Linked DNA regions of Tamandua tetradactyla. The protein of the gene in region 2 interacts with the protein of the main gene of each other region in a pairwise test. Links are inferred from orthologs where the notes say so. Each region holds a gene or a part of one and is shown on either strand. Other genes may lie near its edges. The genes, in order: TSSK2 and TSKS.

The links.
Region 1: the proteins of TSKS (region 2) and TSSK2 interact in binary tests that used the Homo sapiens proteins (3 or more experiments, as listed by UniProt). The link is inferred for Tamandua tetradactyla from reciprocal best matches to the Homo sapiens genes TSKS and TSSK2.

Annotation. Positions count from the first base shown.
Region 1 is NC_135331.1:27,575,655-27,584,825, reverse strand, and holds TSSK2 (testis-specific serine/threonine-protein kinase 2), read right to left. Parts: upstream 3,371-9,171; 5' UTR 3,221-3,370; coding exon 2,144-3,220; 3' UTR 2,027-2,143; downstream 1-2,026. Other genes in the region: ESS2 (splicing factor ESS-2 homolog), read left to right, coding at 1-261; TSSK1B (testis-specific serine/threonine-protein kinase 1), read right to left, coding at 8,017-9,105.
Region 2 is NC_135342.1:11,399,033-11,408,864, forward strand, and holds the start of TSKS (testis-specific serine kinase substrate), read left to right. Parts: upstream 1-4,931; 5' UTR 4,932-5,040; coding exon 5,041-5,282; intron 5,283-5,777; coding exon 5,778-6,006; intron 6,007-9,832. Other genes in the region: AP2A1 (AP-2 complex subunit alpha-1), read right to left, coding at 212-278. UniProt on the Homo sapiens protein: May play a role in testicular physiology, most probably in the process of spermatogenesis or spermatid development.

The DNA.
Region 1 (9,171 bases), on a different chromosome or scaffold from region 2:
AGCCCAGCCATGTCCCCAGCCCTGCAGCGCCTGGTGAGCAGGACGGCCAGCAAGTACACCGACCGTGCCCTGCGAGCCAGCTACACGCCATCCCCAGCACGCCCAGCCCACCTCAAGAGCCCGGCTGGCGGGCCCCAGACCCCCACCAGCACCCCTGCTCCTGGCTCAGCCACTCGCACCCCCCTCGGCCAGGACCCGGCCTCCATCACAGACAACCTGCTGCAGCTTCCCGCCCGCCGCAAAGCCTCCGACTTCTTCTAGGGTCAAGCTGAGGGGCCAGCACGGGGCCTGCAGGGCAGCTGGGTGCCCAGCCACGGACTGGACACGTGCGCTCACCACGTGGACTGCGCTCAACGAGCATCCAGAGACTTCAAACTGTTTTCTATTCGCCGCCTGTCCAGACTGTCATTAAAGAACAACAGCACCATCTGGTAGTCGCCTTTGTCCTGCCCACACTGGGCCTGGGGCCTTGGGATCTGTGCCACCATCTCAGGCCTGTGGGGACCTCCCAGGGGAGAGGCTGTAGGCTGGGCTGATCGTGGCCACCATGGTGTCAGGGCCGTGGCTTTCCCACTACCTCCCGTGTTACATTTTTGTGGCCCCCCCGCCCCCCTCCAGGCCAGCAACCTGTGTGAGCTAAGTTTGCACATCTGCCACCCCCTTGTCCCCCCAGGACTTCCTACTCTTCCAAGGGAGGGATGGAGATGCTTGGAAGTCATGCTTTGGATTAGGCAGGTCTGCAGCTTCTGCAGCTGGGCTCTGCTGTCACCATCTCCCGGGCACCTGGCTTCTAGCCCCCGAAGGACCAAGGAGACCTGCCCTGGGCAGATAGTCTCTGTCTCTGCTCTCCTCTCCTCCGCCAGTGCCCCGCCCACCATTCCCACCTACACGAGCCCCCCGAGAACAGGAACCAGGGCTCAGGGTAAAAAGGAGAGGGGCCGGGCCGCAAACAGACCTAGAAGGTCTCTGCGCCTGCCCTGCACGGCCATGAGCGAGAGGGTGTTGGTGCCCAAGCCTGAAAGCCTGGCCGCCCTGGGTCCTGCTGGCCCTGATTGCCTGGGTGGCCCCTTCGCCGCATAGGGGAGAGGCCTTGTCCCCTGTGTGGAGCTGTGACCAAGGCTGTGGACTGGCTCCAGAACCGGGTCTCCAAGCCTCACACATTGAGCCCCGGGCACCTGCTCAGGCTGGAGTCTCTCCTCCTGGAGCACAGCCAGCCCTGCATTAGGCCGTTGTCTCTGGTCCTCCTTGCCCTCTCCGTCCACTGATCCCCTCCGGAGGCCAGGCCGAGGACCGGACATCTGTGGTGAGACTGAACCTGCAAGCTCCCAGGGTGGCCAAGCCTCCAATACACCCTGGAAGCCACAGAGGGGTGGGCATAGGGGTGGGGGCTGACTGGCTGCTGGGAGGGTGCAGCTTCTGGTGCTTCTCCCCAACAGGGCAGGCTGGGCTTTAGCTCAGTGGAACCCTAGGAGGTGAAGAGGCAGGTGTCCAGATGGGTGTGAGTCAGATGGAAGGGGGGCCATTTTCCAGGCCGCCTGCACTTGGCTGGGCGGTATCTGAGGCTGGCCGGCAAATGCACGGGCTGCATTGGGTACAGGCAAGATCTCAGTTGGGGCCTGCTGGGGATGGAGAGGAGGGCTCAGGGCTTGTGGGTCACCCACCTCGGACAGCCCCAGGGAAAGTTGAAGTCAGGGTACAAGTGAGGTGTTGGCACACATGAGCACTGGGGTGGGGAGCAGGTCCCGGGAGGCCACATGGGGTGCAGCAGGCAGACTCCACAGGACTCTCAGTGCATGGACCTCTGGCTGAGCATGTGCCGCGGGCCCTACTCTGCAGACCCAGGGAGCCTCCAAGCCGCAGGGAGGGAGGTTGGCTGAGCCAAGGAGAAAAAGACTCCTCACGGGGCACCGTTGATGCTGTATATACTTTGCGGTTTATTTGGTGGTCAATAACGAACGTTTTAGTTTGGTTTTTTTTTTCTGCTACTAAGTGGAAGAAAGCTAATAGAACGTAATCAAAATAGTGGTTTAATTGACGGATTTTACTGGTTCCTTGCACCCGTGCCTTCTTCTGCTCCTACCTGCCCTACTTATCGTGAGCGCAAACCCCGCCCCACGCCGCCTCAGAGGGCCCCTCATGGTGGCTAGGTGCTCGCCTTCCCCACCTCGGCCCCAGAGGGGTGATGGTCCTTGGCCCTGGAGGTCTCGGCCAGCCTGTCCTCCGCCTTGTCCTCGTTCTCGGGCGCCACCAGCAGCCGGTGCTGGGTCTTGGCCCCCAGCTTGTGGTCCGGCCGGTGCTCGGCTCGCGAGCCCGGCCGGGTGTCCAGTTTGCACTCGGCCCGGTACTTGCCCTCCCCCTCCCGCTTGAAGGAGCCGGAAGACAAGGCCTTGGGCTTGGGGGGCTGCAGCCACGAGTGACCGAGGATCTCGTCGATGTGCAGCCGCCGATTGACGTCCGGCTGGAGCATGCGGTAGATGAGGTCCTTGCACTCGCCCGTCAGGTGCTTGGAGCGTGGGAAGTCGACGCGGTGCTCCTTCTGGATGCGCAGCATCTTCTTGATGTCGGAATCATCGTAGGGCATGGAGCCGCACACCATGATGTAGAGGATCACTCCCAGGCTCCAGATGTCGTAGACCTTGGGCTGGTAGGGGATGCCCTGCAGCACCTCGGGGGCCGCATAGGCTGCCGACCCACAGAAGGTCTTGCTCAAGGTCAGCCGGCCGCTGTCGTCCCGCAGGCAGCGCTTGGAGAAGCCGAAGTCGGACAGCTTGATGTTGAAGTCCTTGTCGAGGAGAAGGTTCTCACACTTGAGGTCCCGGTGGACGACATCCAGGTCGTGGCAGTACTTGACGGCCGAGGAGAGCTGGCGGAACATCTTGCGGGCCTCGTCCTCGTGCAGGGCCCCCCGGGACTTGATGAACTCCAGGAGGTCGCCCTGGACCCCCAGCTCCATGACGATGTAGACCTTGCCGTCGGAAGTCTCGAAGATCTCGTAGGTCTTGATGATGGAGCGGTGGCTGACGGTGGCCAGAATGTCCATCTCCCGGGGGAGAAACCTCTCCACGAAGTCCGCGGGGGCTTTCTTGCGGTCGATGATCTTGACCGCCACGTTGAACTTAAGGCGCTCTGAGTAGGCCGACTTGACCTTGGCATAGGAGCCCTTGCCCAGGTTGATGCCCACGATGTAACCCTTTTTCCTCAGCACCGCGGCATCGTCCATGGTGCCAAGAGCGGCCGGCGCCCGCCGCCCTCTACATCCCCTCCCCACATGGGCCAGCGGGCATCATCCTCCCCGGCGCTGGCAGGGACTCCTCTGGGTGGGCCGGGCCCGGGGTTGGAGCGAGTGGAACGCTCGGCATTGTCTCCGGGTGACTTCAGCACGTGAAGTCACAAAGCCAGGCTGCTGGCAGCGGGTGCTTGGGGTGCTGCCGGATGGGGCCCCTGGAACCTTGGAAGCCAGGCCAGCCCAGGCAGGAGCGCCCACCACCCGCCTTCTGGAAGGAGGGCAGCCCCGGGACCTTGGCATCCCTCATCATCCACCCCCTTGGCCGTGGCCACCCTGCCTGCCAGGCCCCAAGGGGAGGTGGCCCTAGCCCAGCCCGAGTGCAGCCCCGTGGCACGTTCGCTCTCCCAACCGTGGAATTGGACCCTTGTGTGGGTCCTCGTCCCTCTCGGGCACATCGCCCACAGCGCCTTTGAGATCCATAGAGAACCCCCCCCCCCCCCCCCCCCCAGTGTTGGTGGTTCTGGTACTCCAGGCCAGAAGCAGCTTCCTGGGTGGGAGCAGGTGCTGGCCGGCCAAGTGGTCGCGACTGCCCGGGTGAGCCTGCGGGTGCCAGCTCAGCCCGTCCATATTCACAGGGGTGGGCAGGGCCCCAGTCCGGGGAAGCAGGTGTCCAGGCGTCCTGCGGCCGGGAAGAGCTGGGAGGTGAGAGAGGCTCACTCTGAGAATTCTGAGTGATTCTGAGCAGCAGGTGAGCTCACAGAGGAGGTAAGGTGGGCTCTGGGCGGTGGGCAGTTATTTCAGGGCACAGGTCCAAGTTACCTTTGAAACGGTGGTCCCTGGCAGCAAGGTCGACACAGGATGGGCTCTGGGGGTCAGGTCGCAGAGGAGACAGAGAAGAGGGGGGTGGGTACTTGGGTGGGCGGGTGGGTGGCACAGCACCCTGGACAGCTGGCACCTGGGCGAAGAGGGGTCCTGAAGTGTCACTGGACCTAAGTCAGAGCTGGGTGGCTCTTACTTGCACCCCTTCCCCAATCCCCAAGGTTCCCAGGGTTGGCACATGCTTTCTGTCCCTCAGGGGGCTTTTAGCACCTGGAAGCAATAGGAAAATCCTTTTGGGGGCATGTGTGTGGATTTCTGCTTTGCAAAGTGTAGTCTATGTGGGCACAAAGTACCTCCTCAGCATGTCCACCGAGCCTCTCTCCCTGGCTCCAGAGAACCCTGGCTGGCCTCTCTTGGCTGCATTGCCAGGACAGGTGTCCAGGGGAGAGGAAGAAGGTCTGGTAGGTGGCCAAGGAAGGTTTCAGAGGAAGTGATGGCAAAGCAGAGGTGCACAGGAGTTTCCGCCAGGCTGACCAGAAGGGCAGGCCAGATACTCAGAAAGTCGTGGCCAGAGGCATGGCTGTGTGGAGACACCTGGGCCCTGCAAGGAGCTCCTGGTGTCTGGCTTGGCAGAGCAGCCTAACTCAGAGGAGGAGAGCCCCCCCTTGTACCCCAAGTGGGAGCGTTCTGGGTGAGCAAGGGCTGAGCACCTCCCCGAGAGGTCCTTCTCTGCCCCAGGCCCACTCCGAGAGCTCTTTGGAGCCCCGTCATTTTGTGACTTGTTTTAACGTGGTATGCTCCTTTTTCCTGGGGCCTCTTTCTTTTAAAATATTTTTATTGATAAATCAGCATACAAACATGAACATCCTTCACATGCAAACATTCCATGCACGATGTGCAATTGATGGCTCGCAGTGTCTTCACATAGTTGTGTATTCATCGTCATGATCATTTTTTAAAACATTTGCATCACTTCAGAAAAAATAATACAACAGAAAAAACTCATACATACCGTACCCTTTATCCCCCCTCATTGACCACTAATCTTTGTTCCCCCATTATTTATTTATTTTCTTACCCATATTTTTTTACTCATCTGTCCATACCCTATATAAAGGGAGCATCAGACACAAAGTTTTCACAATCACACAGTCATATTGTAAAAGCTATATCATTATATAATCATCTTCAAAAAACAAGGCTACTGGAACAGTCTACAGTTTCAGGTACTTCCCTCTAGCCACTCCAATACACCATAAACTGAAAACGGATATCTATGTAATGTGTACAAATAACCTCCAGGATAACCTCTTGACTCTGAAATCTCTCAGCCACTGACATTTTAGTTTGTCTCATTTCTCTCTCCCCCCCTTTTGGTCAAGCAGGTTTTCTCAATCCCTTGAGGCCGAATCCCAGCTCTTCCTGGAAGTTCTGTCCCACGTTGCCAGGGCGATTCATACCCCTGGGAGTCATGTCCCACGTGCTGGGGAGGGCAGTGGTTCACTTGCCTTATTGGCTTAGAGCCACATGTGAGCAACAAAAGAGGTTCTCTGGGGTTGACTCTTAGGCCTAATTTTAAGTAGGCTTAGCCTATCCATAGTAGGAATATGTTTCATAGGGGTGAACCCCAAGACTGGGGACTTGGCTTATTGATTTGGTTGTCCACACTACTTGTGAGAGTATCAGAAATTATCCAAATGGGGAAGTTGAGTCTTTCCCTCTTTTCTCCCCATTCTCCTAAGGGGACCCTGCAAATACTTCTGTATTCACTGTCCAAATCACTCTGGGATGCATTGGGGCATCACACTAACTTGGACAAACCAACAAAATCTCAGACCCTATTCAAGATTCCCTGTACTTAACGGTGTTCAACTCAACTGATCACACGAGTTACATTAGGAGATGCACTACCCAAAATATAAATTTTGCACCCAATAAACATCTCTCCCTTTAGGCTGACACTGAAGTTGAAGTTTCAAAAATGGTCAGATTCATCCTTTACTCAGTCTTCTGATATACCTTAGTCCTATCCAGATCAGCTTCATTCATAGCTCTACTTGATGTCTGATCACTTTCTCAAGTTCTTAAACAGTTCCTGTATGGCATAGTGCAGACTTTTAATAAATAGTTCAGTGCTCTGATTTTGAATCTCAGGTGTCACATAAATACTGGAGCCTGTTTCTGGCTGAAATAATCAGAACTCCACTCCTTTAGGTCCCAGAAGGGGCTGGCTGTGAGGATTTGCCAGGCCAGCACCCAGAAGCATGAGCCCCCTCCCCTGTCTTTTCCCTGCATCTCCAAACTCTGTCTGGGGCATCGCTCTGCTTCCTTTTAGGTGGGTTCTGCCTCCTTTTACCCTCTGAATGGTACTGATGTAGCATCTCTGGTTTGGGGCGGGGGGGGGGCAGGGACATGCTGGAGGAAGTGGGCCTCAGCATTGCCCAAGTGCAGCTGTCTGGGATGGGGTTAGGGGGTCTCTCTCTGAGCTTCAATTTCCTCTGCAAAGCAGGCCTCCATCCATTCCTCCTGAAAGTATCTGAGAGTCTGTCCGAGGAGCTGGGGAGAAGCAGGGCCCATGCCTTCATGCACCCTGAGGCCAGCGAGGAGCCCAGCAGGGTGCGGTGCCACAGCAGCCAGGGTGAGTGGATGTCGTAGGCTGTGCCAGGGTGCAGGACAGACCTGGGGCACAGGCTAGGGACACCAGGAAGGCCGAGACACAGGAAGTAACCAGACGGAGGGTGGACAGACGGAGGAGGGGGCAGCCAGACAGTGTGAGAGAGGACTGCATAGGGACAGCTGGGCACTTGGGCAGAAGAGGCGTGGACTGGCCACGGGAGGTCACCATCCTGACACCTTTGGGGGGCCAGGCAGGGGTCTGGAGTCTCTGGCACAGGGCGGCCTCCAGCAGAGAGTGGCTGGTCCTCTGCTCCAGGTTGTGTGATATCAGGCAGGCCACTGACCCTCTCTGAGCTGCTTTCCCAGCCTCTGAACAGGATGAGGGTCATTCCCGGGCCCAAGGACCATGCAGGCCACCGAAATGACAGGGGAGGGGACACATGAAGGAGAAGGAGGGAGAAAGGAGGCTAGACCTGGGAGAAGCAGTGGGGGCCAGAAGGGATGCAGAGGGGGCTCTAGCCATAGTGGAAGGTGTCTGCAGGGATGGGGGGGTGGGGAGGCAGAGCTGGGGGCCCCAAGATAAACTGCAAGGCAGCTGTGGGGAGAAGAAAGATCCAGGCAGGGGAGTGACCTGGCTGTGGCGGGGAGTGGAGGGTCTCTTCTCCCAGAGGACTGAGGGTTGGGAGGTCTACCCAAGATTGAGAAGTGGGCAGGGGCATAGCTGGTTTGGGAGAGATGCCTCTCCCTGCTGGCAGGCACTCTGTCTTCCTTGCCACGGGATGGCAAGACCCCTGACTGCAGACAGAGCCAGCTCCCCAGCTTGAGAGGCCCCTGGCCTCAACCGCCCTTTCTCTGCAGGTAGCCAGCTGGACCCTCGGTTTCATCCTCTCCTTTCCACCCCAGCACCGTGTTCACAACCCTCCCTTTCAAAGCAGCATCTTCCTCACTCCCAGCTCTGGTCCCTGCCCCTCCAGCCGCATACCCCACTCGCCCCTGTGCCCCACAACCCGCCCTCCCAGCTTCTGCAGCCAGGCCCTGTGGTCACGAACCAGGCACCCAGGACATACTAGGATGTATCTTCCTGAGGGAGAGGTACAGCATAGCTCCAACGGAGGGTGGGCGGGAGCTGGAGAAAGACATTCACCTTGGGGTGTACACTAATATAGTCTGTGATTTATTGCTTCTTTAGCCATGTGGGTCACCAAGTTCAAAGGGAGGGAGAAGGAACTGACAAAAATAGTGGCTCCAAGGGGCCTGCGCCCCTTCTCGGCCTCCTCTCTTGGCTTCTTCCACGCTCAGGCCTGAAGTCATGGGCTCCATCTTGTTCCCCGCTGGCCCCCTGGGCCAACAGAGGCTCACGGGGTGTGTGTCTCGGTGAGCGGCTGGGGGGGCCCTTCCTTGGTCTCCCCAGATATCTCCCCGGTGAAACCGATGGTCTCCGACTGCCTCGCCACCTGCACCGACTCAGTCTCAGGACCTGCCTCCAGCCGGGCCTCTTCCCGGGGCTCCTGCTTGGTGACCGACTTCTTGTCAGAGACGGGATCTGGGGCCCACACGGACTCGGGGGCCCGGGAGCTCTCCCCTTCCTTGTTGATGGCCACCGAGGACAGGCCCCGAGCCTTGGGCTGCACCCAGCAGTGGCCAAGGATCTCGTCGATGTGCAGCCGCCGATTGACGTCCGGCTGGAGCATGCGGTAGATGAGGTCCTTGCACTCGCCCGTCAGGTGCTTGGAGCGTGGGAAGTTGACGCGGTGCTCCTTCTGGATGCGCAGCATCTTTTTGATGTTGGAATCATCATAGGGCATGGAGCCGCACACCATGATGTAGAGGATCACTCCCAGGCTCCAGATGTCGTAGACCTTGGGCTGGTAGGGGATGCCCTGCAGCACCTCGGGGGCCGCATAGGCCGCCGACCCACAGAAGGTCTTGCTCAAGGTCAGCCGGCCGCTGTCGTCCCGCAGGCAGCGCTTGGAGAAGCCGAAGTCGGACAGCTTGATGTTGAAGTCCTTGTCGAGGAGAAGGTTCTCACACTTGAGGTCCCGGTGGACGACGTCCAGGTCGTGGCAGTACTTGATGGCCGAGGAGAGCTGGTGGAATTTCTTGCGGGCCTCGTCCTCGTGCAGGGCCCCCCGGGACTTGATGAACTCCAGGAGGTCGCCCTGGACCCCCAGCTCCATGACGATGTAGACCTTGCCGTCGGAAGTCTCGAAGATCTCGTAGGTCTTGACGATGGAGCGGTGGTTGAGCATGGCCAGAATCTCGATTTCCCGGGGGAGGAATTTCTCCAAGAAGTCCGTGGGGGCTTTCTTGCGGTCGATGATCTTGACCGCCACGTTGAACTTGAGGCGCTCCGAGTAGGCCGACTTGACTTTGGCGTACGAGCCCTCTCCCAAATTTATCCCCATGATGTAGCCTCGTCGCTTGAGGACGGCAGCGTCATCCATGGTGCTGGGAGCGCCCAGTGCCTCTGGGGCTGCCCTCTACATCCCTGCGGGACATGGGGCTGGCGG
Region 2 (9,832 bases):
TCTCTGAGACCCTCCCGGGTCCTCCCCGTGTCGTCACCTCAAGAGGCACTCGATGACACCCGCAGCCCCTCCATCCCCGCCACCCTAAACTTCCCCCGGCGCCTCTCTGGCTGTGACCTCGCTGGCCTTCCACCCCCGGGGCCCTTCCACGGCCTCCGAAGCCCCCAAATCCACGCTCCCCCGCCCCAGTGTCCTCCGGCCGCGGGCTCACAGTTTCGGATGTCGGAGATGAACACCGCGAGCCCCCGCATCCCATCGCCCTTGGACACGGCCGGCATGATGGCGGGGGTGTCGGCTCCAGGCCTGGCCGGGCAGGGCACAGCGCAGCGGGGACTGGCGGGCGGCGACCAGGCGTAGAGAATCTCAGGCAGCGCCGAGGAGCCGGGCCGGGACTAAGGGGAGGGCGCGCGGGCGGGCGGACAGGCCGCGGCTCCGCCCCCGGGCCCCTCCCCTCGACTCCACCGCCCGGAACTGTCAGCCGCGGGTTGGCTGTGGCTACTGCCGCTAAGGCTAGGGCTCATCCCCTACTGCTTTCTAATTGGCCCTTAGGTAAAAGTACAGCGCTGCGATTGGTCCAGTACCCCGCTATTTCCGTTCGGGCACGGGGGAGGGAGCGGTGCCCAAGAGACGGGCTGGGTTCGGTTACGTACCGTGGGACCGCCCCCTCCGCGCTGCCGGGTCGGATACTGATTGGACCTGGCCTCTCTCCGAGAGGGGATGAAAAGACGTGAAGGAAGGCGGGGAAGCGGGCCTGAGGAGGCGGGACTTGAGTGCACAGAGGCCAGTGGAGGGGCAGATCACCCCCACAGGCATCGCGGATTTGCGGGGTCTGGCCTATTTCCGCCCTCGAGTGGGCGGGTGTGGGGGCGGGTGGAGGGCGATGATTGGTGGAGAAGGAAGGAGACGGGGAAGAGTCACTCAGCTGGTCTGGGATAGGTAGAGCGACGTCTGCAATTCCCTGCTGCAGAGAAGGGGTTGGGCGGGGCGAGAGTCTAGGAGGTGTTTACTGCGCAAGCGTCTCCTAGTTTCCCTTTTTCCCCCCCCCAATTCCTTAAATTCATTTGTAGGAGCATTCTCTCTTCCTTCCCGCCACCTTTCTCTAGATTCTAAGATGTCAGGACTTGGCTTGTCAGAAAACCTGGGATCTCACTGGAGAAGAACTGTATCCACGTCTAGTCCCATGAAACAGAAGTTAAACCTGAAGTCCAGAGACGTTGAGTGACTTGTCAAAGGTCACACAGCTCGGCAGCGGCAAAACTGAGATTTAAACTATATTTTGGCCTATAGCCACTTTTCATTGTTTTTTGTTTTGTTTTGTTTTGTTTTTCTTCAACAACAACGCCTCAGGTAACCTCCATTAGAGCAGATATCAAATAAAAATTGTGATTATCTTCACCAGATGCGCAGCTCCGCCTGGGCAAGAATGGAACCTTGTACTGCAAAGCTAAAAAGGAAAAAAAAATGCTTTTTGAAGTAAGGAATGGGTCAATCGGCTTTGGCCCGGCCCCTCGGCGCTCCGGAGACCCTGTTTGGTTGATTGGCTTTGGGGAAAACAAAGCTTCCAGAACTGCAGCGCCCTTGGCTATTGAGAAATTTGGGGCAAAGGGAAGTGGGAGAGTCCATTTCTGTCACCTCGAGGAACAAAACCCCACCCCACCACCCTTTTCTAATCTCAGAAGCCAAGTATCCCGGGAATGAGCCTTAGGGGAGTGTCCTGATCCTGGGAATGTCCACTCCGAATCCTGGGGGAATGGGTAAGAGCCCACCTCTCAGGTTCAGTGGATCCGTCCATTTGGATTTCCAAGAATAGGGTTTAGGAAAATACATTCTGCATCCTAGGGGGGGCTGTCTGGGCCGGCGAGTCCATTCCTAACACCGCGAAGGGGAGACTGGCTTCTCCTAGGGAACGTAGGGGCAATCCTATTTTAAAAATTGTATTATTAGGACCAGGAGTTGAACAAGTCCTTTTTTTAATGGAGGAAAACATTAAGCGTTCCAAGGACTTGTTCGTGGGTGACTTGGAGAGGACCACTTTGTCCCTGAAGAAATCGCCTTTAAAAGTATATAGTAGTAGTAGTGGAATTCAAACTAGTCCTGTTTGGGGGTTATGAGGAAGAGACGTGAGGGGTCGTTACGCACACACACACACAAAAACACCGCCACCACCGCCATGTCCCCCACAGAGCCCACCTAAGGACAAACAGATTTAACTCTGGGTTCTTGGTGTGGAGTGAAGGATGTCCTAGCCCCCTCCTGGGTATATGGGGGACTCAGCCTGGCCTCTCCTCCCTCAGGGAGCTCATTAATTGGCTGAAACTTAATTTTCAAGACTGGGCTTAAAGTAGAAGCGATCTAAGGTCTGATGAGGACCTGAGACTGGGGCAGGTTGAGGAGCCAGGGGCTGCCTTCCTGGGCCCTGGGCGTCTTGAGCCTGAGAAGGGATGGACATGGCTGACCCCCTTTGAGTTAGAATAGCACTGTCCACATAGAATTACAGTGAGGGGCGGGCCACGGTGGCTCAGCAGGTGAGAGTGCTTACCTGCCATGCCCGAGGACCCGGGGTTTGATTCCTGGTACCTGACCATGTGAAAAAAAAAAGAGATTTACAGTGAGAACCCTGGGTGTAATTTCCAATCTAGTTTTCAATTTCTAGCCACGTTAAAATAAATAAATAAACAGAAACAGGTGATCCTAACTTCCATAGTATATTTTAGTTAATCCAGTATCCAACTGTTATCATTTTAGCCTGTTTTATGTTCTTATTTTTGTAAATCTTTGGAATCCAGTAAACATACAGCCCGGCTCAGCTTGGACAAGCCACGTGGCCTGTGCTCAGCAGTCAGAGGCTCTCAGTAGGGTCAGGCAGGCTGGGGCCAGACCATTCTGGAAAGCTGGGGCTGATCTGCTGGTAAGTCACCTGGAAGACCAGGTCATGAACAAGTCCACCTTTGGAGGAGATCTAGGGAGGTGTGGTCAAGCCATGATAGGCTTTAAGATGGGACGGTAAGAGGGAACCTTGGGCACGCCAAGGAGCACATGGGTTGAGCCACTAGTAGAAGTTCTAAGACTTCCACCCGAGCAAGGCCACTCATGATGCACATCGGATTCTGATTTCCTCCAGAAGAACCAAACTTACCCCCGGTCTTCGCGTTTGGGCACCTGCCATAACTCCAGACATTTGTTCTGGAATCCTTCCCCACCCCTCCACCCAAACCAAATCAGGACACATCATGATGCCTGCAGCCACCCCATGGCCTGCCTCAGCCCCTTCCAGGCCACCACCCTCTGTTGCCTGGATCTTGGATTGCTTTCTTAAAGCCCTCTCTGCCCGGTCCTTCTGCAGCTTGGATTTTTAAAAATTTTTATTGTGGTGACATACATACAACCCCAAATTTCCCATTTTAACCACTTTCATGCATACGATTCAGCAATATTAATTACGTTCGCAGTATTGTGCCACCATCACCATCATCCTTTACCAAGAATTTTTCATCACCCTGAACAGAAACTCTGTACCCGTTAAGTAATCACTTCCCCTTCCCTCCCTCCAGCACCACCACCCCCATAACCTCATCCTACTTCCCCTCTCTATGCATTTGCTGATTCTGGTGAGTTCATGGAAGCAGAATCATGCATTTGGCTTATTTCGCTTAGCATCATGTTTTTTGATCGTTTGATCGCACTATTACTTCATCCCAATTGCCAGTTTCTGCTCCATCACTGCGTGATGAACATTTCTAAATACTCAGAAAAGTCAAAATCGCCATTGAGCCAACACCCTCTACCCCCACGTTGATTCCACCGTTAACATATTTCTTTACTTGCTTTATCACCTGTTTGTATGTGTACCCTTCCCTCTGTCCATCTGTACCTGACCCCAGATGCTTCAGCCTGCTTTTGGCTGGAACTTGATATTCACTTAGATTCTTTTTTGTTTTTGGGGGTGGTTTTTTTTTTTGCATTTTTAAAGTTTATTTATGAAACATAACCGCATACAAACACAAACATTCTTACCATATGATCATTCCATTCTTGTTATATAATCAGTAACTCACAGTATCATCACATAGTTGCATATTCATTATCATGATCATTTCTTAGAACATTTGCATCAATTCAGAAAAAGAAATAAAAAGAAAACAAAAAAATTCATACATACCATGCCCCTTACCCTTCCCTCTCATCGACCACTAGCATTTTAATCTACTAAACGTATTTTAACATTTGTTCACCTATTATTTAATTATTTTTAATCCATATGTTTTACTCATCTGTCCATAAGGTAGGTAAACGGAGCATCAGACACAAGGTTTTCACAATCACACAGTCGCATTGCGAAAGCTTTATCGTTATACAATCACGTTTAGATTCTTTTTCAGCAGGTAAAATGCACATGCAATAAGAGGCACAGACGTGCAGGGCACAAAGCGACATGTTTTGACAGAGGTATGTGCCTGCCGTCACCCCATTTCCATTCCCTTTCCATCATGCGTCCACGCCCAGTGTTTTTTTGTCTGTGCATCTGTCTTGTTGCTCCCCCGTAGGAAATGGTCAGGGGCTTACATCCGTGCTCATTGGCCACCACCTCCCAGGCCCCCCAAAAACACCAGATCCCCGGCATTGGGCCAACCATCAAGTATGAGAGTGGGGGGCTGTAATGACCCCACGTTTGTTCTCAGGAAGAGGGGAGTCAGAGGTCAGAGGACACCCCCCCCTCACCCCAGGAACCCCAGGGCCCACTTGTTGTAAGTCTTGAACTAAAATTTGAGGAGGTCCGGTGTGGCTCTGAGAGGCCGGGGGCACGCTGGGGTAGAATTGGAAGCCTCAGAGGTGGGGGTAGTCCATGAGAGTTTCTGGAAGGTTCCATGAGCCAGGGCCTCTCTCCCTTCCTGGGTCACCTCCCCTACCCCCACCCGGGGGCCCAGTTGGTTGGGCCCTTTGTGAGGCGGGCTGAGGGGGCAGGGGCTCTGAGGTTCAGCGGTCAGAGTAGGTGGCGAGTCTCAGAGGAAAGAGCCCCTGGGAGCAGGACCCCCCCATGCCATGGCGAGCGTGGTGGTGAAAACAATCTGGCAGTCCAAAGAAATTCACGAGGCCGGGGATCCCCCCGCGGGGGTCGAGAGCCGCTCCCAGCTGCTCCCAGAGGCCCCCGGGGGGGTGCTCAGCCCGGCCAAGGGGATCACGAAGAAAAAGAAGGCCGTGTCGTTCCACGGGTGGGTTTGTCGCACCCTGTCGGGGACGGTCCTAGCGCCCAGCGCTGCCTCCATCAGAGCCCAAGTCCCACCGTGGGTGCTGGAGGAAGGGGAGGGGGAGGGCAGAGGAGGCACAGCCAGAGGGCAGGGGCGAGGGGGGAGGGGAAGGAAGAAGGCAGAGTGCAAGGGGCAGAGGCAGACACAGTAGAGGGGAGGGCAGTGGTGGATGCAGGGAGGGAACACTCACTGGGGAAGGAAAAGGGAGAGAGGAACTGGGGAAGGGAGAGGAAAGTGGTGATGGAGCATAGTCAGTGGGGAAAGGAGAAGAAAGTAGACAGCTGGGATGAAAAGGGAGAAGAAAAAGAAAGGCGGGGATGATAAGAAAGAAGAAACAAGGCAGCAGGGAAGGGGAAAGGAGAAAGTAGGCGGCGGGATGAGAAGGAAGAAGAAAGTAGTCAGCGAGGAAATGGAAGGGAGAAGAAAGCAGGCAGTGAGGCTGGAGTCAGGGGAGGAGGTGGTGTGGAGGCAGGAGGGGCTGCACCCCATGGGGGCTGTGTCCCGACCCCTCGGCCTGTCTCTCCTCTCCAGGGTGGAGCCCCGGATGTCGCACGAGCCGATGCACTGGTGCCTGAACCTCAAGCGGTCCTCCGCCTGCACCAACGTGTCCCTGCTCAACCTGGCCGCCGTGGAGCCCGCTGACTCCTCAGGGACAGAGTCGACCGCGGAAGAGAGTGGTGGCCCCCCTGCACTGCCCGGACCTCCCGCCTCCCCGCCGCCACCCTGGGCTCCAGATGACCCAGACATCACGGAAATCCTGGTGAGAGGCCCCGGCTGGGGAAGACAAGGGGGCTTGACCCGGTGGTAGGCAAACGCTGAGGGTGGGGAAGGGGCTCTTGATTTGACATGAGAAGGTTTTGGTTGCTCTTTAAGGCCCAGGTGATCTGCCTCTGCCTCCTTTGACAGCCGGCCATGAATTGGTTTTGTCCTTGGCAAATGATCCCTGCTGTCTTGGGGTTTGTTTTGGTTCTTTCAGTCACTGCTACATGTCTTGCACGGGGCTGGGGACACAGACAAGAATCAGTTGAGTTCACTGCCCTTGGGGAGCTCTCAGTCCAGTGGGGGAGATGGACACAGCCTGGGTGACAGAGGCCATGATGAAGGTGGTGCTGAGGTCCCAGACAAGGACCCCTCAAACCAGGCTGGGGAAAGCCGGGAAGACTTCCTAGAGGAGGTGGTGTTGGAACTGGGCCTTGATGGATGAAAAGGAGTTCTCTGAGGGGATCACCCTAGAGTTTGGGGCAAAACTGGGAGGTGAGCAAAAGCTAGGGTAGTTCCTGGCTGGAGCATGGGGCACCTCTGCTTGGTCACTGAATTACCTCCCAAGGCTTCCCCTGGGCTCTGGCAGACATGGACACCAAGAATCAAACTTAAAATAACTGCAATCAGGATGATGATAATGAGGTGCATTTGCCAGGCACTTTCTGTGTTCTGAGATCCTCGATTTCCTCATCTGTAAAACAGAGAGTCATGCATCTGTTCTTCAAACAAATATTTCTTGAATGTCTACTGCTGAGTGTACGTCTACAGAATTCTGATTAGAAGAGGTCTCGCCTCATAAGTTTGTCATGAATTGAAGGGTAGTTCACCGAGGTAGAACACTGAGCGTCACGCCCAGCGCTGGCAGGCACTGAGTGAGCGGTAGCTGTTATTTTTTATGTTCATGGTTGTTGTTTGTACCATTTTGCAGATGAACATATCGAGCCCCGGAGAGGTTAAATAGCTTTATGGAAGGTCATGCAGCTTGTAAGGGGTAGATAGCGGCCTAGGGGTCAGGCTGGGGGAGCAGCAGAGGTGGGAGCTCTGAAGAAGGAGGCTTTGGTCCATCCAGGAATGGTCTAGAAAGAACTTTCCAGAAAAGGCAGCACATAAACTGAATCTTGGGGATAAAGAAGGCGCTCCCCAGGCAGAAGATGAGAAAGTGTGTTCCAGCTACACGGAGGGACATGTGCGAGAATGGGCAGGGTTGAAAAGAGCAGGAGGCAGGGCCAGGGGTGGGGTCGGGGGAGGGGGCTGGAGTGCAGCGTTGGGGATGGGGAGGGCGGAGGCTCAGAACCACGGGCATTTTCCCGAGGGCGATGGGGGGCCAGTGTGAGCTCATGGGCCACGTCCCTTAGGGTGGAGGTCCCGTTCTCTTCCCTTTGAAGTTCTGTGAGGGTGCCCAGTTGAAAGATGGAAACCCAGCCACGACAGGAGGTAGTGATGCCTGCAGGATGGCGCTTGTAAGAAGAGGGCCCGGCGCTAGAAGCTGAGTGGGTGTGACATTAAACAAATGTTCTCGCTTTCTCTTGAAAGACCCCGCTAGGCCCACGGAAGGGCGTCTGGAAGGGGGAGGCTGGAGGCCAGGAGGCTCGCGCGAGGCTGGGTGAGGGTCCGGGTGGGCGTTCAGGAACTGAGCCAGGATGGGGAGAGGGGAACGGGGCGCAGGACTGGACGGCCTGAGGACTTGCCCGGCAGCCCTTCCCACCCTCTCCCTGCGGCATCTGTGTCCCGTGAGAGTTACTTCTGAGCCAAGACCTCCAGCAGATCCCAGGCCTGGGAAAGGGCCCCGGGCAGGGGATGAAAAGCTGACTCAGTGGCGAGCGCATCCTGGGGTAGCTGGGGGTGGGGGGGTGGGGGGAAGACCTCCACGGGCTTCCCGGGCCTTCTGGGTGAGATGGAAAAAATAATAACAGCCAAGGCCAAGGGTGTATGTGACAGCGGGAAGGGGCACAGGACCCAGGCTGTGTCAAGGAAGACACTCGCAAGGGAGGCAGAGAGAAGGGGCAGAAACCCAGAGGGAGGGGGACGGAGACCCAGAGAGAGGGGGACGGAGAGCTGTGGGCAATGAAGACCCTGTTTGAGAGGGGGTCATTTCCAGAGGAGGGAGAGACGGAGGTGGGGAAACAGTGAAGACGACAAGGCGTGGCCCCTGTCTTAAGTTGGGACATCCTATCTTTACGAGCCCAAACGAGCCACCTGAGGCCCAGAGAAGGTGACGTTGCCTTTTGGAAAGTCACGCAGTGAGTCAGTGGCTAAGATTGACAGGGCAGGTCATGTAACCCTTGCTGGGCCTTGCCCTCCATCTGCAGATTTCCCAGGTGTTTCTAAGGCACCTTCAAGGTAGATCCTGTCCTATTATCATGATTTTTAATGCTAATCGCCGTATTTACATGTTGATTACATCATCTCGGTAACCCTGCCGTCTGAACAAGGTATTATTTCCATTTTATGGGAGAAGAAACAGACTGGTTTGGAGCGGAAATTGGATTGCCTAGAGTCTCACTTGGGTGGCCAAAGAGAGATTTGCCCCCAGGAGTTATAACACCCACTGCTCAGCCAAGGCTGACAGGCTCTGGCTTAACTGCTCCCTGGATCTGTCCTCATGGGAGCTAACACCTCCAGGGACCCCAGCCACCCCTTCCCTTTTTCGGAGTTTTGACCATGGTCCTTTTCTGGGTTAGTCCATGTTCCTTCCCACTGCAGCCCGGTAAAGGTAGCTGTCACTCCTATCTCCGTTTTATAGATAGGGAAACAGAGGCAGAGAGAGGTGACATCCCGTCTCCTAGGTCACACAGTTAGCAAGTGGGAAGACTGGGGGTTGACCATAGGACCTGCTTCCCCAAGTTCCCAGAACAGGTTGCCTACAGGAAACCCAAGACCTTCTGTGTCTTCAGTTTAGAAAGATCAGTTTGTGTATTGGTTATCTAATGCTGTGAAACAAATGACCCCCAAATTTAGCAGCTTCAAACAGCAAACCTAGGACGGAATAGCAGTTCTGTGTTACTGTCAACATTTCACCTGGGGCTACAGGCATCTCAAGGCCTGAAGGTTGTACCTGGCTGTTGGCTGGAGGCCTCAGTTTCTCTCAAAAACATGCTGCTTATGACACGGCTGTTATTGTCTCCCAGACCAAACAGCTCAGGCAGGAAGCCACAGACCTTTTTTTTTTTTTTTAATTTTAAATTTATAAAAGTATGACAACAAAGAAACACAAACATTCTTAATATATAATCATTCCATTCTACGTATATAATCAGTATATAATCAGTAATTCATAATATTATCACATAGTTGCATATTCATCATCATGATCATTTCTTAGAACATTTGCATCAATTCAGAAAAAGCAATAAAAGTCAACAGAAAAAAATAAAATGAAAACAGAAAAAAAATTATACATACCATACCCCTTACCCCTCCCTTTCATTGATCACTAGCATTTCAAACTAAATTTATTTTAACATTTTTTGCCCCTATTATTTATTTTTATTCCATATATTCTACTCATCTGTTGACAAGGTAGATAAAAGGAGCATCACACAGATGGTTTTCACAATCACACAGTCACATTGTGAAAGCTTTATCATTATACAATCATCCTCAAGAAACATGGCTGCTGGAACACAGCTCTGCATTTTCAGACACTTCCCTCCAGCCTCTCCATTACATCTTGAATAACAAGGTGATATCTACTTAATGCATAAGAATAACCTCCAGGATAACCTCTCGACTCTGTTTGGAATCTCTCAGCCATTGACACTTTGTCTCATTTCACTCTTCCCCCTTTTGGTCAAGAAGGTTTTCTCAATCCCTTGATGCTGAGT